Linked DNA regions of Drosophila melanogaster. The protein of the gene in region 2 interacts with the protein of the main gene of each other region in a biochemical or structural test. Each region holds a gene or a part of one and is shown on either strand. Other genes may lie near its edges.

What was found.
Region 1: of the proteins of Hipk (region 2) and ey, one has a biochemical effect on the other in vitro, tested with the Drosophila melanogaster proteins (one study listed by BioGRID).
Region 3: of the proteins of Hipk (region 2) and gro, one has a biochemical effect on the other in vitro, tested with the Drosophila melanogaster proteins (4 studies listed by BioGRID).
Region 4: of the proteins of Hipk (region 2) and arm, one has a biochemical effect on the other in vitro, tested with the Drosophila melanogaster proteins (one study listed by BioGRID).

The regions. Positions count from the first base shown.
Region 1 is NC_004353.4:702,702-707,689, forward strand, and holds the start of ey (eyeless), read left to right. Parts: upstream 1-1,949; 5' UTR 1,950-2,463; coding exon 2,464-2,572; intron 2,573-4,727; exon of another isoform or gene 4,728-4,790; coding exon 4,791-4,970; intron 4,971-4,988. UniProt on the Drosophila melanogaster protein: Involved in eye morphogenesis.
Region 2 is NT_037436.4:544,513-549,070, forward strand, and holds the start of Hipk (homeodomain interacting protein kinase), read left to right. Parts: upstream 1-1,546; 5' UTR 1,547-1,686; intron 1,687-2,969; 5' UTR 2,970-3,266; coding exon 3,267-3,555; intron 3,556-4,558.
Region 3 is NT_033777.3:26,039,740-26,047,746, forward strand, and holds the start of gro (groucho), read left to right. Parts: upstream 1-1,996; 5' UTR 1,997-2,162; intron 2,163-2,340; exon of another isoform or gene 2,341-2,525; intron 2,526-2,901; exon of another isoform or gene 2,902-3,073; intron 3,074-3,080; exon of another isoform or gene 3,081-3,164; intron 3,165-3,255; 5' UTR 3,256-3,604; coding exon 3,605-3,640; intron 3,641-3,775; coding exon 3,776-3,870; intron 3,871-4,570; coding exon 4,571-4,634; intron 4,635-4,704; coding exon 4,705-4,887; intron 4,888-5,264; coding exon 5,265-5,297; intron 5,298-5,729; coding exon 5,730-5,924; intron 5,925-5,989; coding exon 5,990-6,088; intron 6,089-6,796; coding exon 6,797-6,853; intron 6,854-6,993; coding exon 6,994-7,170; intron 7,171-7,234; coding exon 7,235-7,506; intron 7,507-7,756; coding exon 7,757-8,007. Other genes in the region: E(spl)m8-HLH (enhancer of split m8, helix-loop-helix), read left to right, coding at 585-1,124. UniProt on the Drosophila melanogaster protein: Transcriptional corepressor that regulates transcription when recruited to specific target DNA by hairy-related bHLH proteins. Maternally required for neurogenesis; in the segregation of the neuroectoderm. Directly or indirectly interacts with Notch and Delta.
Region 4 is NC_004354.4:1,897,602-1,902,467, reverse strand, and holds the start of arm (armadillo), read left to right. Parts: upstream 1-1,821; 5' UTR 1,822-1,958; intron 1,959-2,294; exon of another isoform or gene 2,295-2,424; intron 2,425-2,857; exon of another isoform or gene 2,858-3,164; intron 3,165-3,428; 5' UTR 3,429-3,457; coding exon 3,458-3,488; intron 3,489-4,866. Other genes in the region: CG32801 (uncharacterized protein), read left to right, coding at 6-316; Ldaf1 (lipid droplet assembly factor 1), read left to right, coding at 666-755, 854-1,031, 1,191-1,403, 1,455-1,702. UniProt on the Drosophila melanogaster protein: Isoform neural may associate with CadN and participate in the transmission of developmental information. Can associate with alpha-catenin.

The DNA.
Region 1 (4,988 bases), on a different chromosome or scaffold from region 2:
ATAGTGCCTATATCTTAATATACCCTTGGAGACATTTTGCCCGCAAATGTATTATTGATACCCGCCTACCCAGACTTCCATCCCGTTAACAGCATATATATGTAAGTACATGTATTCCAGATCTCGATCACTTACTGAATCGACGACCTAGCCAATCTCCAAACGAAGAGTTTTTTATTGGCGATTCTTGCTATTATTAATATATGGGTGTCGAAACCCTCGGAGGCGGTCTGCATCTGAAGCAGACTAAGCCGAAACGGAACAACTTTTTGCTCCACGAGCATGTGCCGTGTCGTTGGCACGTGCCACGTGGCGATTGCTTGGGCTGCGTTCCATCCTCAGCACCAGTGCGAAGATAATATGATGATAGCAGGGCTGATTCAGCTTCCTGCGGGGGACATACTTTCATGTGCTACCATGTAGCCTAATAAAAACATTTGTTTCCTCCACCTTTAGGCGTTTTATGATGTAATCTGTGCATATTAAATCTTGAATATTATAAAGGGATATGGCAATCGGATCAAATGAAAATGATTCAGTCTTACCTGTAATAATAAAAATTACATGTGCGAAAGTAAGTTCAAACATTTTATAGTCAATGAAACGCCCAGTAAGTTAAGTATTTAGAACAGTTGCGCGCCTAACATTCTCACATATATTCAGATATCGATCGTGCGTGCATTTTATTCATAAAAATGTCAACGGGCTTGGTTAAATTGTTTAGTGATTGCTAATGTTTTTAAAATATGTCAAATATTTCAACCCCAATTCTTTCAGATTTGCTACAAATTTCGACAGAACAAAATTAAATATTATAAATACAATGTAGAACTATTGCAAGGGTACATTAAAAACATTCTGGAAGTGACTTAGAAGTAATATGCATTATTATTACATTTCACTTTTCAGAAGTCATAAGGACGTTATAAACCGTGTGAGAAGAACTCTTCGCATTGGAGAGCCCAATTGTATTGGAAACAGAAAAATTGGCCGGATATTGCTGTTGAATTTTGTGAATTGCACTTAAATCGACATTATCCCATACAGTCGTGTAGGTGCGCTATAGTTTTTTAATATTTCTCTAGAGGATTTTGAAACATGGCCTTTTAGCCATAACACTGGCCGTCCCTTTCAGGCTATTGGCAACTCGTTCTCTCGCTGTGCGGCGCAAAAGCAGGACAGGAACTTCCTCTTTGGGGCCCACCCAGCCTCCACATGTGACGACAGCTTATGGGATGGTGGCTGGTGGGTGTGACCGTGCTTAGGCTTGTCGACATTTTACTAAACAACCGTACGCCCACACCCAGCTCCCCTCGATATGGCTGTGTGTGTAGGCTCGCACTGCCGAAGCGGAAACGTGCGGGTAGTTAACGGAAATGTGAAGCGCTTATTGTATCGGAATGAAACAATTCCATTGGACGAGTGTGCTGCTGGCAACTTGTCTGGCCAGCTTGAATTCAAATGGAATGCAACATGTGTGTAATTGCTGGGGGGGGGGGGGGTGTGGCACTGGGCGACTTCTCGAAAGGCGGTGAAAGCGGCAGGCGCTGCACCGTTTACACACAGTTTCTTGCTGGAAGGAACAACATCCAGTTCCAGACCAGCACTTTCATGTCTGTTCAGGACCAAACCATTCCATTATGTGCTGCTGGTCCGTCTAGAGTTGGTTCTTCCTTTATTTTCAGATTCCGTTGCCACGATATGCTTAACGACACAACGCAGCTGCAGAACTGCACCGTGCCGAATCGCTTTCATCTTCCGCCAACTAACCTTACACGGGTGCGAGAGGGACAACTGGTGTGCTTCAACAACCAATCATGGGGCTAGCCTATAGCAAATGGTGGTGAGTGGACCAGCCATGCTGGTCTTTGCCAATCGCACGCGGTTCCGTGGCAACAAACCCAGCCTTTTGCGCAGGGGGGTGCTGGCCAGCCGAGGGTCGGCCTAGTCTGTTTCTGAAACGGATCCGGGTAGGCAGGTCGTGACATTATTATTTCGTGTTGCGCTTCTAAGGTAAATACTGTTCCGCCGCCGTGTCGCGAAGTTTAAGAAAGGTTGTTCGATTCACCGTGCGTATTAATCTTTATATCAAATGAAATTACCGGCTAAGTTAGCAATCGGTAGACCCGGGAATAATACGTGTTACGTGCAGTACAAATATGATGCTAACATGAGTGCAATCAAAAGTGGCGTTCGAAAAATGAACAAGTGAACTAAAACAAAAGCGGCTGCTCAGTTATATTTGTGTTTCCGAATTCGTAACTCTTAGGTCCTCACGGCGCGATCAACAATAGGTTTTTTGATCACTGCAGGACGTCATTCTCACCATCTGCGCAAATTTACTCTTAACTCTTGCTTGACTCGCCCTGCAAGAGTTCGCACGGCGTGCGTTTGGCTGAACACAGCAGTCTCTTGGCTAAAGCTTTCATGAGCAGTGCATGTAATAAAAACTGAGATCCAACTATGTTTACATTGCAACCAACTCCAACTGCTATAGGCACCGTGGTTCCCCCATGGTCAGCGGGAACATTGATAGAGCGCCTGCCGTCTTTAGAAGACATGGCTCACAAGGGTAAGTGAATTTTTTAAATTTCTTGATTGGCATCATCGTCTTTATCCGACCCTCTTATAAATATATATGAGTCTTAGCCAACACATATGTTAATGCTGCCCATGGGCAGTTGATCCGGTCCTACTAGGCGAGTGCAGTTTCGTTCGGCTGTTGGTCTCTTTTGGCGCAGTTTACCAATAGATAAAAAGCTTCTGAACTGAATCGTTTGCGAACTCTTCTCTCAAACTCAAACTCCCGAGAGTAAGACGGCTTTATACTCCGTATAAATTGTCCAAATCAAAGATATTCAAATCTTCGCCGTGACTCTTATAATTCGAAAAACCTATATTTGTATTATACCCGTAGCTTGTTGCTAATTTGTATTTAAAGTAGTTAGTGGAAGGAAGAGTTCCCGGCTAGTCGATTTTCCGATGACCGTTGGCATGTCTGTCCGTCAGTATTGACGTCGAGACCTTTGGAAGCGAAATAAGTAGGAATTATGCAAATTCCAGTAATGCATACGCAGCTTAATTTTATATTAAACCATTGTCACTCACTCACATTGTAAATTACAACGCAAAGGCGTTTAATGATCAATGGCGTTCCTACGGGCGTATCTCATGCTATCCCGCGCGTATATGATTATTGAGTACTTCATACTAGCTGACTCTTTCGTTTTATACAAATTTGTATACTCGTTACTCATAGATTAAAGGGTTATTAGATTTTTTAAATTTAAAGTATATATATTCTTGATCATGGTCAATCGGTCAATCTAGCCATGTCCGTCTAGCCATGTCCGTCTGCATGGACGTCGAGTTCTTAGGAACTATAAGAGCCAAAAGATTGCAATTTCTCGTTCACACATGCAGCCCAATTACGGGTATTTGATAGTCAATAAACCGGACTATAGCTCTCTTTCTCCTGTTTTAGCTCATAACGCTAACTGAAAAAGATTAAGCGCCTCCTTCTAAAAGCCCCATAAACGGCCCAAGTAGTCTATGGTATATATTCGTTCATACTGGGAACTTTTTAAACTAGTTCTTTTAAGTAATAGCTTAGGTCAAAAGTGATATTCTAGTTGAATTCTTTAACCATTTGGTTGTATACCTAGCTATGATTTATCCGTTTGTATTCTTCACGACTACCTTCTGCACGCAAGTTGCGAAGTCTTTTCCTGCAAGGTTTAAAACTATGCGGCTTACTGCTGAAATCGAAATTAGTTTGATTACTTTTAATACATTTTTTTGCACTTTTATCTCGCAATAAAATGATAACCCAAATACATAGCTTATGTTTTTGGGTTTCAGTTTAATTAAAACAATTAGGTAATCCTGATTTTTCAATTCGTTGCAGGTATAATATATTACAAAAAATAATTCGAATCGAACTATGACCTGAAATTTTATATTGCCAAAAAAAGTAGAGTATACCGAATTTAATTAATACATATAACTGATATATGTAAGAAAATATGTAACTAACAATGTAATGAAATAATTCTAATTCCTATGCAATCTGGCTCAACTTCTTAACTGAAATAAGAGAAAATGTTATAGTAGAGTTTCTCGATCAAACACAGGTCTAATTTAAAATTTGCAGTATTTTAGTTCCCGAATTCAGAGTGTTTAATAATGCATGTTCTTTAGAGACTAGGACAAAAAATCTGCAGAGTGTTCGGCAACTTTTGCAGTAGATTTCAGATTATAGATAGATTACAAAGAGAATAAATAAAACAAAAGAGAATGCTTTAGTCGAGTTCCGACTATCAGATACCCTTCACTTCGCTAGTGGGAATGCAAACGGAATGCAAATATATATGCGGGAATAAAATGAGAAAATATTTAAAAATGGTTTGAAAGTGTGGGTGTGGCAGTTTAGGGCGGTTTTAGTGCGTTTGAGTGGGTATTCTGTATTCTGTATGCCTCTGTATGAGATCTGGACGTTCATACGGACGGACATGGCCAGAATGACTTAGCTTTGATCCTGATCAAAAATATATATACTTTATGTGGTCGAAACGCTTCCTTCTACCTGTTACACACTTTTGAACGAATCTAGTATACCCTTTTACTCTACAAGTACTAGTACTTAAAATATGTTACATTTTTATAAACACTTAAGCAAGTTCAAAGTTGGTTCAAATTTAAAGATCTATTCCACTATTATTATAAATGAATTCCAAGTACAAACTGACTTCTTGATACGAATTTTACTCCTTTGATTTTCTTTTTTATAGACAATGTGATTGCAATGAGAAATTTACCCTGTTTGGGTACCGCTGGTGGTAGCGGACTAGGCGGTATTGCTGGGAAACCTTCCCCTACTATGGAAGCCGTGGAAGCCAGCACAGCGTCACATCCCCATTCGACATCTTCATACTTCGCCACAACTTACTACCATTTAACCGATGATGAATGTACGTTTTAATAAATAA
Region 2 (4,558 bases):
CCCGGCGCAACCCTCATTCCCCCAACCCACTCGCCCACTTTGGCAGCTGTCAATTAGAGCTTACAGGGAGAAAAAATGAAAACCCGAAGCTTCCATATGTTAGCTGTCCCTCCCACAGGTCTCCGCCCCCAACAGCTGTTGGAAAATGAGATTAGGAGGTGGGGGGTAAGTGGGGACCCAGCTTTATTGGCCTGTAATTGATGCCCAGGCTGCCAACCATATTGCTGATTGAATTGTGGCGTTGTCGCTGCAGAAAAGAAGAAGGGTGTGGATGCACAGTCCAGAGGACTGACTGCTGACGTCGCCACCGAAAGCAGAACCCGTTCAAGCTGCAGTTAAGCAAGTCTTCTGCGGGGAACCCCCGGGGACACAGACTTGTCGAACTCGCATCCTGCTGCGCTACATAAACCCCGAAAGTCCATGCCAGATTTAATGACAAAGGCCACCGCCCATTACAATGTTGCTTAACTACCATAATTATAAACAAAAATATAATATTATGTTTAAGGCTTACCTTCTCTTTACTTTTGTGCTTGGGGGAAATTGCAATTCTTTGAAGCGCTGGCTTATTTACATAAGAGTAATAGGGAATTCACCAGTTTAGTTACCTTTTGTTTGGTTGCGCTTTTCAAGTCTAGGTTTTCCTAAGAATTGTTCTCCATTCCTTATTTTCAGCATGCTGGAAACCATATGCTCTCTTTTGATCCTTTGGTGGAAAAGTACCCCCCGTACCTTTTCTTTGGCTCGGCTAAAAATGTGTTCAATCCACGCAGCCATTTCCATCTCGTTCTATATGTGTGTAATTAAGTCTGTCCACGACGCAAGTTTTCCTCAGCGCCTCTTTTTACCCGGCGGCTGCCCAACTAAACCACTTTGGCCCATTCGCACATCGCAACCCCCTCTCCTCGACCCACCTCAACAAAAAACAAAAAAAAAAAAAAACTATTTCACAAGGTGCCCCTTTGCCGGTTCTTGGCCTCCCTTTTGGCTTTCTCCGCCCCTTCCTTCTGCTTTCTGCTGCCGACGCAAATCCTTACGTGTCAAATGGAGCCCCTCACACTTTTGGATGGCGCCCGAACAGGGACATCCACGTAAGCAATCAAGCACTTAATCGGCTATCCGACGAAGGATTACCCCTTACTGGAATTATTCATACCGGATCATAAATTTGTACAGATAAGACCAGTTTAGAGACAGTACTATATAGTATAGTATAGTAAGTGAAAATCCCTAAACATTTACGTTAAGGTCGAAGCAGAGGATACCCAGGATATTATAGGGTAGCAAGGGAAGGAAAAACCAAAACAACAACCACAGAGAAAGTAAGCAAAAATAATTTCGCGATTCGTCCCCCGGGCAGAGCCCTAAAAGTCGCAATTTGAGGGGTGGAGCCCTTCTCTGGAGCGGCAGGAAGTGGGTAGTGGAAGAGCGGAGACCGGGCTTGCGCAGGCGCCTGGAAGAATCCGAAGCCGAGAAGAGCGGCGAGTGTCCGCTCTCTTTTTTCGGCTCTGTGGCAACAAAGTTTCGGTGCCTCAATTCTTCGATTCAGAGTCTCCACAAACGGCTTCGCGAGCGGACGTTGCAGCCACAGAAGATACAGCCACGGCCGTCGAGGAAGTGGCAGCTACAGAAAGCCAAGATATATATCTGCATATACATATGACTGGCGAAGCTGCTGCGAAAAAGGTGCAAAACAAATTAAGATGCATAAATAAACACCGGACTCGCTGGCAGGTGTTTGTGAACTCTGCTTGTGTGTGTGTGAGTGTGTGTGCGAGTGCGGTGCTGTGCGGTGAAATATTACGAAAGAAAACCTTTTATGTTTTGCAATTTTCCCGCAAACAAATCAACGAGCATAAATATTAATTTTGGCTACACCCAAAATGAGATGATGGACAATAACAGCGGCAAGAAGAAGCGCTTTCAGAAACTTGTTTTAGCCCGGTTTCGGATTTCTCCGTCTTCCTCTTCTCTTCTCGGCGACGTAGTTAACTAAGAGCCGTCGTATTAGACGTTAGTTAGAGAGTGCGTGTAAATTGTCGAAGGGATATTGTGTTTCCCAAAGCCCCATCTGAAATATGTATTCTCACTGTTCATCTCTGTAATGAAAGCTGTGAATTTATCAAGTTACTAATCGGTATTGTGCGGATAATGGCCATCAAAACCTTTTGAGCTACGTTTTTCGATTTTACATTAGGCAAGGGTATCCGTAGGATCCATTTACTCGCCAGCTGCAGAACGAAAATCCATTCAGCAAAACTGTCTCTCCCTTTTCCACTCGCTGAGCAATCCATTTAATAACTTTGGAACCGGCTTGTGTTTGCTTTAATTTGTTGTTGTTTTTTGTGGATTTGTTTTTTGGGTTTGGCAACGAAAGTTGCCAATTAGGTTTAATTTTAGGGGGCTTCGTAGAATTTTCAGCAAAGTGCGTAGAAAAGGGTTTCGTGGTGTGTATCCGTGTGGGCCAAAAGTGCGCTAGTGTGCGTGTTGTTTGTGTGCGGGGCCAAGTGCGTATCTCCCAAATGTTTTTATTGTTGTTTGCTTTTTTCGTTCTTTTGTGGTTTTCATTTTTCGACACCCGAAATGTGTTTGTCTTGTTTTTATAGTTTGCTCTCTTTCACGCCGCTTTTTGCGTAGTTTAAAAGTGGAATCAAGTAAAAAACAAAACAATTACAGTAGAGCCTAGATGAGGAAGTTCTGCGTGCAAGAAACATAAAGTTACCAAGTTGCTGTACAAGCCTTTCCAAGGCATTACAAAATTACTTAAAGCAAAATAAAGTTATTTAGTTCACTAGTTAGTCTCCACTGTCAATATTTGGACAACACATTTGAATGGAAAGTTTCAAAAGCGAATTAAAATATAAACGTATGAATGCCGGGCAGGTGTGCGAGTGTGGTGATATGATATTTTTGGTACGTGATTTTATTCGACCATGCTAATGGCTATTGTGTTCTCCCTCTACTTGCAGATTCTCTTTTAATTTGGCATAAATTGTATTTGTCTTGAAAAAAGCATATTCTTGTAAATATATCCTCTTCGTAAAATATTTTACTTAAAAGCCTTAAAATATTGAATTCACGTGAAATTTCAAACGGTGTCACTCGAAATTCGCCAGTGACTCGCCGCCACGTTTTGTACAAACATAGTTTGTAAACATAAGTTTGTAAGCGGCCGGAAAAAGGCGAACGGAACCCAAAAACCCCAATGCAAGCCAACTGAGTGCAAGGGAGACAGCCGACCACGTCGAGCGGGATAGCATGCGCCAATGAAAACGTCCTACCCCCCAAAAGCGTCCGATTTCGTTGACTACGCCGTTGCCGGGGGCGGGGGATCCGGATTCTGTTCGGGATTAGGAGCGGGACTTTCAGTCAGGGCGACGTCCTTCTACGGCGATCAAACGGTAACGGCAACTACGGACGGGACGCGTCACCAGGAACAACAACAACAACAACTGCAGCAGCAGCAACAGCAGCATATCCTAAGGCAACCTGCAACATCCGCATCGACTTCATCGGTAGCTGCAGCAGCAACCAGCAAGCGAAAACGTCAAACAGGTGAGTTTTTTATTAGCCATCCAAATAGTTACTACAGACGTGCACTAGCTTTATTTGTGACTAGGCTTTCGAAATCCCCACCTATAGGTGTCAAAAGGTTTGAATTCGATGTCGATAACATGTGAATTCGATATATTATGTTATGCAGGCAGTTTTCAGTGTAAATCGGATTCGGATAAATATAAGTTATCGGATAAGTTTTTGCTTAGCTAAGCACCTTCAGCAACCACACGAATGAATCATGGGTAATATGTCCGGTTGATTGCCCCTTCCCGTGGTGATAGCACTCATCGATTATTGTGACAATCGCTTAATTTGCTTGAGTTATCGTTATCACACACGCGCCGTGGGCAAATGCGCCCTGTTGTTTAGTAATACTAGGCGCAATATTTATTATTATTGGTTGCCGTGCCATATTTCTGCCTCTTCTGGGCACTCTTATCGCCCGATTTCCCCCAGCGCCTCCCCTTTTTATTGTTGATTATCACAATAGACGCCATGGCAACTTTTTTCTTCTTTATTTTTGGTTTGGTTGGTGAGAGTGCAAGGAAGCGATAATTCGCATGGTGGTTTGTCGCCGTTTTGTATTTTTTGGGTTTGTGGACATTCTTAGACTTTGTTTTGTACTTCGGTTGGTATCTTTGGATTTTCCACGCTATCCGCGATTACGCTTGCATGCTCGAGCATGTCTGTCTTGGCGCTTGAAGAAGATTCCCTTCCATAATCCCTTTAAAATTTGCGATGATGTTTTCGCTGCTCGACTTGCCTGGCTTCATTCACATTATCTGCTCTGTGAATAGTATGAGTTATTGTTTGATATCTCACAAGGTCCCCCGCACCCCTGTTCCCCGAGCTCATTGAAAATTCCAGCGGACGCAATTACCACCCCAATTGTCTCCCAATCTAAGTTTTCGCTTTTGAGCGGCTCCGCCTCTTTGCTCGACTGTATTTTCAGTGTTTCCTTCGCTTTATTTATTTTTCGCTTATTGCGACTTATAAAAAT
Region 3 (8,007 bases), on a different chromosome or scaffold from region 2:
CAGAGCGGCCCACGCACAAGCAGTTCGGATCCCCTGCCCCTGCTCATCATGCTTCGATCCCATGTACCCATATATGAACGTTCCCATTCCAAACACGACAGGATGAGGCAGTGAAGTATGCATTAAGGATAATAACACCGGCCCAGAAAGCAATGCGAGCAGCCAAAAACAGCGACAGCTGCAAAAATGTGCCCTGATCCTTATACTCGAAAAAAAATGAGAAGCGGAGCGGAGCGAAGCATGTGGCCAAAAGGGAAAACAAACGAGAAAAAATTGTGTGAGAAACTTACTTTCAGCTCGGTTCCCACGCCACGAGCCACAAGGATTGTCCTCCGTCCTACGAAGTTGCAGCTGTTCCTTGTGAAAAAGACAACAACACCGGCGTTTAGCCGTGCGAGCGAAAGAGAGGGCAGGAAAGGTGCGTATCAGAGGGTGGATTTCAGGGACCAGGGAGCGGTATAAAAGGACGGGACCTCGCAGAGCAGAATATCACTCACGATTACGCCGTCGAGCAGGCAGCAACAAGCCGAATACAAAATTTTTCAAAAATTTTTAAAACTACGTAACCTACTACCAAAACAAAAATGGAATACACCACCAAGACCCAGATCTACCAGAAGGTGAAGAAGCCAATGCTGGAGCGCCAGCGACGTGCCCGCATGAACAAGTGCCTGGACAACCTGAAAACACTTGTCGCCGAGCTACGAGGTGATGATGGCATCCTGCGCATGGACAAGGCCGAGATGCTCGAGTCAGCGGTGATCTTCATGCGCCAGCAAAAGACACCAAAGAAGGTGGCTCAGGAAGAACAATCCCTCCCCCTGGACAGCTTTAAGAATGGCTACATGAATGCCGTCAACGAGGTGTCACGTGTCATGGCCTCCACACCTGGCATGAGCGTCGACCTGGGCAAATCGGTGATGACTCACCTGGGACGCGTCTACAAGAACTTGCAGCAATTCCACGAAGCACAGTCCGCCGCCGACTTCATCCAGAACTCGATGGACTGCTCCTCAATGGACAAGGCTCCGCTCAGCCCCGCCTCCTCCGGATATCACAGCGACTGCGACAGCCCCGCCCCCTCGCCACAGCCCATGCAGCAGCCCTTGTGGCGCCCCTGGTAAAAACAAGGGGTTAAGTGGCAGGAAGGTAAGGGTGGAGTGGCAATGGGAATGGAAGAACCAACCAACAACGCATCTGTGATAGCCCAACTGTGATGGCAACAAAATAGCAAAATTAAAAAAGCAATTAGCAAAACAAATATAAACCAATTTAAACAAATATCAAAACAATTTACTTTATTGGGATGTTGGGAGGGGATCTAAGGGACCAATCCCTTAGTTGGTGGCAATTGGAATCCTTATTGGTAATTAAATTATTACCAATTAGGAAATATCAAATAATATATCTCTGCTCTGACAATGGAAATCTATTTTGGCAATGACCGAAGTGAAATCTATTTTATAATAATAAATATTTATTTATAAATATAAATAAATTATATTTATTTATTTATATCTATTTAATAATAAATTAAATATATTTCACTTAATTAAAATAAAAGTGTTTTAGAAAACTAGCACTGATAATTTTAAGTTTTTTGAATCGGTAATGTCCTTAACGGTTCACAAGATTGAAAATAGCAAATCAGACTGAATAATAATAAACTGAATAATTATTTATTCATTTTTAAAAAGCGCGCCAACTGCACCTGAAGAACATGTACAGATCTAAGTTACGTATTTATTGCGGAACTTTTTTCACTTTTTTTTCAAGATCATGGCAAAAAATGAGTGTTAGCATGGAATCTATTTAATTAGTTGTTCTGCAACCGTAGTGTTTGTAAATAAATAATTTAATACGTAATAGTTCTTTGAACATTAGGATTATTATTTCGCAGAGTGTAACTAGTTCGATTTCAGCGCAGGCACTTCCTAACACTGGCGCATGCAACACTGCGCCGCTGAAGCGAGTGGCCCGCGATAACAGACCCTCGACACATCGATAGGCGATAGCGCAAATTGCATACCTGAGACCGACGCGGTCTGTGTGTCGCGGATAGGAAAATAGGAAATTATAAATAGAAACGGGCCGTGCCGATGCCCCAAAAGCCACCCAATTGCCAGCTGCCCCAATCGGCGAGGATACCAAGTGCTACCGAGGTGAAAATCGGCGTGCCGAAATTGTTGCAAAAATATTTGAGACGAGAACGCCATTTACAAGCCGCGTTTGTACAGCGAGTGCGCGTGTAGTAGAGCCGGAGAGAGAGCCGCTGCGTGTGTGTGTGCCTGTGAGAGAGCGAGAGAGCGCCGCCGCCAAAGCTGCCCAACACATACACGAATGTTAGACACTTCGCGGTCGGTCGGCAGAAACAGGCAATTTTATACGGGCGAAAAGTTACAAAAAATAATTTTCCCACTTTTCGGTGGCGAAAACGAAGAAACTGTAAAAAATGGACCAGAGATTTAAGTGCAAAACATAGAAACATCTTGCGATAAAGCGTGCTAATCCGGGGCATAAAACTGGTACTGCCATTATCTCGCTTTTTTAATTGCTTTTGTTTATTTTTTGTATAGGACACAGTATAATTTTTCTTTTGCGCTGCGCGCGTGTGAGTGAGTGTGTGTGTGTGATTTGGCCACTCGCTGGTTTCTATGTATGTGCCCGTATCGCCGAACAGAGTTGCCGCCTCCAGGGCAAATCATAAAAAATATATTGGCTGTACAATTGAAAAATATTGAAAAGGGCCAAGCAAGTGAATTATATGCGGATAAGCGGAAAAATAACAAACAATAAACATCAAAGTAATGTGCAAACTGTGTTTCTGCTGCTGTGCGCGTTTCAAACGGCATGGCAACCCTGTTTAATTGCAGTCTGTCTGTATATGTTCGCATGTTGTTTGTGCGGAGTGTGCTGCCTTTACGAAAGAAAAGTGTTTTATTTTCATTGGATTAATCCCGCCCGGTTAACTGCACAATCGGATTAGTGCGTCCAGCGGCCCCCGAAAATCAAACAGTGATTTTGCGTAACAATTTCATGGGCCACATGCAACTGTGCGCTTGATTTTTCGGCGGTAAACACTCACACTCGTACCCTCGCTCCCGTTTCCTGTGCTAGTGTGCGTGTGTCTCGCTGGCTCAGCGCGCCTGTGTGTGTGCGTGTATGTACGTGCGTGCGAACGTATCGAAAAAAATGGTGCAAAAATATGAAAAAGCATAACTAAGCAAATATGTTGTTGTAAAATTCCATTCGCAGGATATGCAAAATGCGAAGTAGCCCGGACATGGAGTGCCACTAAGTGCCGGTTCCGTTTGTGGGAATACTAATAAAGCGGATCAACTGCCATCGAAAAATATTATTAAAAAAAAAAACAGAAGAAAAAGAATAGCTAAAAAACAAGTACCATAAAACGCTGGCAAACAGATAGATATTAGTCCACGTTTTGCAAGGAGTTTCTGTGCAGGAGTGGAGTGCTCAGGGATAACCGGAAGGAAGGAAGCGGCGTACGCAGCAGGAGGAGCAGCAGGACTTCCGCTCCGGCAAATCGGTGTCCACCTCGGAACTATCGCTCTTGCTCTAGCCGGCAACATACCAGCCTAACAACATGTATCCCTCACCGGTGCGCCACCCCGCCGCCGGGGTAAGTTCACCCGACAGTGGGTCCCACCTCTGACCCCCGAATCCGTGCTAATTGTGTTTATGTCTCTTTCCACCACGCCGCGCCATGTGCCGCCCACGTACGGAACACCAACCACCTCTATTCACATCTAAATAGGGACCACCACCTCAGGGTCCAATCAAGTTCACCATCGCCGATACACTGGAACGCATCAAGGAGGAGTTCAACTTCCTGCAGGCGCAGTACCACAGGCAAGTATCCGGTGGAATACTCTATACACGGCAATGTTTACATATGTAAACATTACGCGAATCATATTTACAAGGGATATACAAGGTTTATCATTATAATTGTGAATACAAGGCAAATCTTTACTATAAAGATTTGCAAGGAAATATTTGCCATCATAATGACACTCTCTGCAAATGTCATCTTTGTAATTGCTATGTCAAGAAAAAACTACATTGAATATTGGCCCTAAGAACTATTGGCCCACTAAAATTGCTATGATCGCAAATTTATGTCAGATAAAAGTAAAATTCTTCACACTTTCAAATAATCCAATGGCATAGTTTTCATGGGTTAAGCAATACGCAATTAGAGATTAGGCCCCAATAATTAAGTTGAGGTTAAACCTATTAGAAGCCTTTACAATAACATGCCCCAAAGAAATCACATTTTAAGCCTTAGCCTTAACCGCCATCGTATGGAAGTGTGCGAGTGTGAGTGTGGATGGATGCTGCGTCTGCGTTTTGCGAAAAGTAAAACAAAAAGCTGAGCAAACCGGTTTGGCGCGCCATATGCGCCGCTGTCATAGGATTAACCTGCGCCGCCCCAGCCGCAACTCAATGCTCCATGCTCCACAATCGCCGCTTCCTTGCGTTCTTGAATTCAGTTCGCTTCCGTCGTCCAACTAATTTGCCCGTTGATCACTTTTCCTGTGAATTCCAGCATTAAATTGGAGTGCGAGAAGCTGTCGAACGAGAAGACGGAGATGCAGCGCCATTATGTTATGGTAAGTCGTCATGATCCGCAAATTATCGAGATCCCTTAGCTAATGCCACGGCTTGCCTTCCAACTTTCAGTACTACGAGATGTCCTATGGCCTTAACGTGGAGATGCACAAGCAGACCGAGATCGCCAAGCGGCTGAACACACTGATCAACCAGCTACTTCCATTCCTTCAGGCCGACCACCAGCAGCAAGTGCTGCAGGCGGTGGAGCGGGCGAAGCAGGTGACCATGCAGGAGCTCAACCTGATCATTGGGGTAAGTCGATCGAGGACGGATGATGGATTCTGCGGCAGCAGCAATACGGTTTCAGCCATTCTCAGATAGACACTAATGGGGGCATGGCCGATTGGAAATTCGGTTGCCACACCGAAAAGGCAGAGAAATTTAGTTTGCCGGGTACTTTGTAATACAGTCTTTCAAAGAATAACAAATATCTTGAAAATTGTATAAAAAATAAGAAATCTAACGTATATATGAAACAGTACATATCATAAATGTGGCAACCGTTAAGTGGGAACTTCGTTTCGGTTTAGTTTGTTCCTTGGGCCGCATTTGATTTGAGTTTGTTTTTCTACTTCCTAATTTGTTATGATTTCGCATTCGACCAATCCAATCCAAACAACGTTGTGCAGCATCAGCAGCAACATGGAATTCAGCAACTTTTAGTAAGTTTGTTTCGTTGCAAGTTAATTTCTTATTGTTTGTTTACTGTTGCCGTCTGCCGCTGCATCCGCCGAATGTGCCACTGCCACAACTACAACAACAGCTCCAGTGCCTCACTACCTCCTCTTCCTTTTCTGATTGTCAACGTTTATATTATTTGAATAACGCTTCAAATGCCGCCAATTGTTGTTGCTGTTTCCATTAACCCCAGATGGTCTTTGCTTATGCTTATGAATCGAAAGATAAATAAATTAAATTTTGATACAAAATAAAAATATGGCAAATACCATTTAGTGTTAATGTCGTTGTTGTGTTTACACACATATGTACACACATTTCAATGCTTTCATATTCCCACTAAGCACGATGTTCATTATTCCGAAAGCCAGCAACGCGCACGCCCGATTTCATACGATCTCATGGTTCCATTGCAGCAACAGATCCACGCCCAGCAGGTGCCAGGTGGACCACCTCAGCCGATGGGCGCACTGAATCCGTTTGGCGCCCTGGGCGCCACCATGGGCCTGCCACACGGACCGCAAGGTCTGCTGAACAAACCGCCCGAACACCACAGGCCGGACATCAAGCCGACGGGTCTAGAGGGGCCAGCAGCCGCCGAGGAGCGATTGGTGAGTACCACGCCCTAGATCAAAATTCTGCATATTTCAAGCTAATTTTCATGCTGATCTTGCAGCGCAATTCGGTTTCGCCGGCCGATCGTGAGAAGTATCGCACACGCTCGCCGCTGGACATCGAGAACGACTCGAAGCGTCGAAAAGATGAGAAACTGCAAGTGAGTATCGAGCTTTTTTCAGTGTTAGCATTATACACTTGTAGTATCATAGATCATCGCGTTGATGGTGATTGCCATAACCGATTACTGTCATCTCATCTGAGCTGTTGCTGTCTCTCAACTCACCAGAAACTCAATTCCGTAGTTTACCCATTGTTGTTGTCTAATTCTGCTAACACTCTACCCCAAAATCATGCTAAACAAAACCTAAATTGCTAATTTTTAAGAGACAAAAAAAACATCACGATCTAATGGTGCCTGTTCCGGTTTTCAATTTCTAGTAGTTGGTTTAAGGTGTATCTCAACTTATAGAATTTTGTTTCTAATATTCCACAAATTGTAAAGCTAATGTGTAAATGTAAATTGGAGATGATTTATAATTATGACTGGTTTACTTTGTTTTAGATTATAAATTTTAATAGTAGTGTGGAACATGTGTAAACTATATACATTTTCTATGCTTTTAACTAGTTTTATTTCTTTGATTTTATTGTCTTACTTAAAAAAGGAACACTAATCGTAACTTCATGGTTTGTTTGCGTTTTTAAATTGTTAACCATGTAAAATGATGTGAAAACCAGAACAGGGCCTAAAATTTAGATACTAACTATTTCTATTGTGGTTGTTGTTATTGCTGTTGTTCGTTGTGGGTTTTTGTATGAATTTTGATTTATATTGTTTTTGTGTTTTTTTCAAAATTATTTCCAGGAGGATGAAGGCGAGAAAAGCGATCAAGATTTAGTCGTAGATGTTGCAAATGAAATGGTGAGTTGAGTGTCGGCCCAGATTCAATGCAACCACTCCCAAATTTCCCCAAAAAAAAAAAGAAACAAAAACCACACCTTTGCTATTACATTTATCATCAAATGCAAAAACAGTACTTAATGCATACATGTGCCTTGCAGGAATCCCACTCACCGCGTCCCAACGGCGAGCACGTGTCTATGGAGGTGCGCGATCGGGAAAGCTTGAATGGCGAGCGCCTGGAGAAGCCAAGCAGTAGTGGCATCAAGCAGGAACGGCCGCCCTCACGCTCCGGCTCCAGTTCGTCACGTTCCACACCCAGCCTCAAGACAAAAGATGTGAGCCAAATGTCAAATGTCGAACCCAGAAAGTGTTAGAGCTAATTGAATCTCGTTCATTTAGATGGAAAAGCCGGGTACACCGGGCGCCAAGGCACGCACACCGACACCGAACGCCGCTGCTCCGGCGCCAGGCGTTAATCCTAAACAAATGATGCCGCAGGGACCACCGCCAGCCGGATATCCGGGTGCACCGTATCAAAGGCCGGCCGATCCCTACCAGCGTCCACCGTCAGATCCAGCCTATGGACGACCGCCACCAATGCCGTACGATCCGCACGCCCATGTGCGAACCAATGGCATTCCACATCCCTCGGCCCTAACGGGTGGAAAGCCGTAAGTCATTTATGTCAATTTACGGTCCGAAAAGTAGACTATAGGAATTTTGTCGTGCATTGTTATTAAGTATTTAAAGTAATTCAATGCAACTGATTAAAATGCAAAGTGCAATGTAGTCGATTGGAGATGATAAATGTATGAATCGGCACAGATAGGAGTATATAATATCGCTATTTCTACGAACGTTAAACGTCTTATCACTAATTAAATGGTTACATTAATTAATAAACACATTTTGCCGTTGCAGTGCATACTCTTTCCATATGAACGGCGAGGGTAGTCTACAACCGGTGCCGTTCCCGCCGGACGCGTTGGTGGGTGTTGGAATTCCGCGGCACGCCCGTCAGATCAACACGCTGTCGCATGGAGAGGTCGTCTGTGCGGTAACCATCTCTAATCCCACAAAGTACGTGTACACGGGCGGCAAGGGCTGCGTCAAGGTATGGGACATCTCGCAACCGGGCAACAAGAATCCAGTTAGCCAGCTGGATTGTCTGC
Region 4 (4,866 bases), on a different chromosome or scaffold from region 2:
TCCAGTTCATCCGCTAACACGGAAGTTCTACGCCCAGTATGAGCAACGCCAGCCGACGGATACCTTGAGGTACCTACGGCACACTTGGCCTGAGAAGCATGTGGAGCGTCAGAGGCAGCTCGGAAAAGCTGTTCCGCTCCTGGAGTCGCAGGTGTACGGCTGGTTGCCGCTCAAAAGTGGAGAGCGAGCCGCCGATCTGAACTTTCTGCATGCCAAGAAGGTGCGCTGCGGCATGACTGTTCACGGGGAGCGCTTGGTGGCGGAGAGGATTACGGCGCGTCCTCCGTTTAACGGACTCAGATTCCTGCTTCACTAATCCTACGGCGAAGAAATGTCGCACGCTGACCGCCATTATAAATTTATAATTTTTTTTTTAACATAGTGTTAATTTTTTTTTTGTAAACAAATTAATTATGATTAAAAAGCAAAACTAAGCCACGCTAGATCATTATTAAGAAACGCATCTTGTCTAATTCAAATTTAGTAAAAAAAAAGGTGGCAGCTCTCCCTCGATGATTTAGTTTCAGGGCTACGACGTCGATTATTTTTTGTTTATTTATATTGTTTTCATTTACTGTTGCTTCAAGCAGGCGAATGAACCTGGAACAGACTCCTCCTGTAATGCGCACAGCAACCGCCTGAGATTCTCGCAGTAGCCACGCAACATGGTGGGTACGGGTGTGAGTGAAGTGGGTGTTCCGGCATCTTCGGAAGAATCCGTAGATTTCGGCTGGAATCGGCATCGCAAGTCAAAGGTCGCGTTTCACGGACTCAGTGGCAGCCGGCATCTAATCACTTGGGTTCTTTGACTCACATAATATTCATAACTGATTTGATTTGATCGACTCTGCAGGCTCACTCGAACAAGGCTCGCAAAGCAGCCAAAGAGGCAAACGCCAAGAAGTCTGCGGGATCGGGAACAGAGAGCAAACCGGAGCACGTAAAGATACATGGCCCAGGCGATCGTAGTGCAGGAGTTCTGACTGGCGACCAGTTCCTGGAGAGCTTGCTCCAGACTCTCTACAGGTCATGTATGTCCACTAGTTGAAGTACTATCTGTAAAAGCGCTTAATTGCTTACTGCCACAATTAGTTACTTATATATGTACTACTCTGTACGGTTGTTAACCTGTTTTATGCATCACACCGCGTAACAAAAGTTGCCTTTGTTATAACGTTGCCATATTGCAGGGCTTCAAATCTGCCGCCTGGCAGATTTTGTGATGTCCGAGCTAGGTGGAAATGATTTCCTGGAGGCCACCGCGGCCTGGTGCACCCGGAATCCGCACGTTGCTATCTGCCTGCTAGCTGGTGGTCTTGTATTCATGCTGCCCTTCCTTATAATATTTGGGTTTGGAATAGCCACCATGGTTATGACCTTTACAGGTTTGCTGGTGCTAGAAGGTGCGTTCCGTAGTGTTTACCAGAGATCACGTTCTTATCGACTCGTTTTAGGCACACTCCTGACCATTGTGTCCATGGTGTTCTTCGCCTGCCTGGGAGGACTAGTCATAATGGTACCTCTCTTCGGTGTCGCCGCTGTTGCTGCCTATTTCGGATTTGCCCAGGTGTATGGCCTATGTGATGGAATAGAGATCCATAAGAGCGCGTGGGTCATGTTCTTTAGGGATCAACGGAAGGCCGGCGATCCGCCGCCAGCTGCTGTGACCATAACCGATGAACCCACTTCTACGACTGCATAAACCAATATTGCTTGCCCAACTTAAATATGTATTAAGAAATTAAAGACCAGTGTTTGAATACTTTTGGAAATTTAAAAAGTGCGCTTTCTATTTTGAAGCAAGTTGGCAGCCACCTGCGATAGAGGAGTTATCGGTTATCTGTTCTGCGCTCATATACACAGTTTTCATAGTCGGGGATTTTTGTCGAATTTAAATATCTAAGTGCGTCAAAAGTGCGTTAACCTGCCTTTGAGCAGATAAATTTACTTTCGAAGCGGTAAGTAATAGTAAAGTCATAGATATTTCTTTAATTCGTCGCCCAAAAACAATAGTTTTTGGTCGTACCTGTGTTGTCATACACCCTCATGTACACTCAGGTGCTTGTGTTGGTAAATGTTTATACAAGATAAACGGTGAGTTCGAGATAACATGATAACATGAACTAGAAATAAATTCGCCTTAGCTAAATTATAAATATTGTGAATTGAGTTTCTTAAGGATGAAATGCTATACAAATTTCGTGAGATTTTTGTGTTCTCAGAACAAAAAAAATTTGAAAAATTCCTTTGGCCTATCGCACAGGGCCCATCGAGTTATCGGGACAGCAGCAGGCCATCGCTAGTTGGGTTTCGTCGCCATATACACAGTTTTTCTCGAGCAGACAATTCGCTGTTATTTTGTTTCTTATAGCGTTTTAAATAAATAAATCCTGCTCTAAAGCAGACTTAAATTCCTTGGACGCGGTGAGTACTGTTAGTCGGTAGTGAATCCGTTTGGAAAGCCAAAGTTTCTGTGTGCCATGAAAGTTGGAAAGCCATGGCAAACAAGTCGGCGCGGGGGTGGGCAGGGGTTCGCTGGATGTGCGCCTGTGTATGTGTGTGTGTATGATCTGGATACACACAAACGGCATTTTTATGTATTCCTCCCCCGTAAATCGGGCGCTTGTTTTGTTGCTCGCTGGAATGTAAACAATGCCACAGACAGGAAATCGTTTTCTTCGAATCTAGAGGCAGGCTTATCGTTAGGTGTTTTATCTAATCGACAACTGAAATGGAGTTGGGATTCTTTCTGAGCTGCCTACGCGAGTATGTGTGTGTAGGCACAATCGTTTGGATGTGTGGCAACTCTGCGCAGCACTGCATTTGTATGCTGCACTGCCGCGGCCCTTTACTTTCTCTCCCAGTCTCTTTCCCTGTCCCTTTCCCGCACTCCGCACGCGCGGTGTTGCAAGTGCCTTGCTTTGCTTGCGCTCTCCGCATCTGGATTCTGTTCCGTTTAAACGAGCGTGCTGGTCGGTCGCATTTTCCGCTGCGCCTTTTTCGAGAGAAGTGAAAAATCCATTTTGTTTTTTGTTGGAGTGCATGAGATTTGAAAGAGTGCTAAACAAAGTAATTAAATAACTCAAGGTTCGTGGCCAAAGTCTTCGGCAGGTAGACACACACATACCCACAAATACCCGTTCTACCTGCGTAAGAATGTATTAGTGCGTTTGTTTGTATACGCAGCATATTTCATATTATGCTTCGGCATCTCAAAGCGGAAATGAGTTAAAAAAAAAGACCAACGACTAGAATAAGTGACTAACGGACGATATCTGCGTCTGTTGGCAGTCTGCAAACACAACAAGCCCTTCTTTCCGGGGCCCCCATTTAGTGGAGTTCCGTGGTCTCCATCCGAAGCACACACGAACTCCATGTTATTGACTGTCCAGCACATTACTCATATACTCTCCGTCTCTTTCTTGCAGGTGTGGTGTAAAGCGCCTCAATCACCAAGATGAGTTACATGCCAGCCCAGAATCGAACCAGTAAGTATTTCCAGCAGCGGTACTCTTCCCTTTCCCATCTTCCAGGGAGTATGCAAAGAGCATCAAAGTTAACTGTGTATCAGAGTGTTCCACTTTGGGCTTTTGTATACCCAGTCCAAATGCAGTTGTATACAGGATCCGATTTCATCAAATTAGAGATGATATTGCGTTTCAATGGACGCAATTAAGTCATGGTAGCTCTAGAGTTTAGAACATTTAGGATAAATAGTCAGAATACATGGCCCTATGAAGGGGATGCAACAGCGCATTGTATCTGTGAAACAATTATCCCCGTATCGCAATACAATAACAACCCCTCTCCAACGTTAAATGAGGGAGCGATGCTTGTTTTTGACAAATTTGGCAAATTTGACATAAAGTATTTGCTTTTGTCATTTGTTTCTGATATTCCCTTTGTGGGTTGTCTGCAGAATACAGGGTAACAACTATATCCATCCACCCCAGACAAATAATTTGTGTACATCTACATACTTGTAATGCTTGATGATCTTTTTTTTGTTGGGCCATCAACCACCAGCGGCCTGTGCTTATATCCGATTCATCAAAAAAAAAAGCGCTCCCTTCTACTTCGGAGTTTGAAATTTACACTTTTCCGCTGACGCAGTAAACGGAGTAGGAAAGAAGATTTCTTTTTGACACTTGATTTGCAGAGCGCGTTGGTGAGGCTCTCAGAGGCGCAGGAGAGGACTTCACCAAAGGGGAGGAGCTCGTTAATGCATGTTGGCTTCATTGAACTCCCATCACTTTTGCCACAGAAAGTCGAGGAATGTCAATATCTAGGACGACAGTAGTGAACAGTTCATAGCCATTTAGGAAGTGGCCTTTTAATTCGACCACTATTAAGTATTTAGTTTAGTTTTCAACTAATTGCTGTACAACCCCGAAACCCCCTTGAGTAGGCCGCTGCTCACTATCCTTTGAAACTCCATTCCCTCCCCATGCTATCCACTTACGCACACACACATTCAAGGACTCGTGTACTTGCACGTGGCACTCCAACCCACGCCACCCTTTTGCCATCGCTCCTTGGTCTTCTCCGGGGACCTTGTTCTCGTACCCCGTCTCCCGAACTCGCAGTCGAGTTGGCTGCACATTTTTCTTGGCTTCTGCCTTTGCTTTTTTCTGGCGCTGCTGCTGTGCAGAATTTAATTAGTAAGCGGCAACATGCAATTAAAGGCTCCGCCCGCGCCCTCCATCCCAACACAGTACTCCATTCAAGTGCGTGGCCCACTCGACGGATATGGCGAAGAAAAAACGCTTAATCGATTTGGGAAATGAAACGAAAAGCGATTACAGTATTACAGTCGCATGTGCTTATAGCGAACAAAATTCATCAGCTGTGGGCTAAACCATTTTG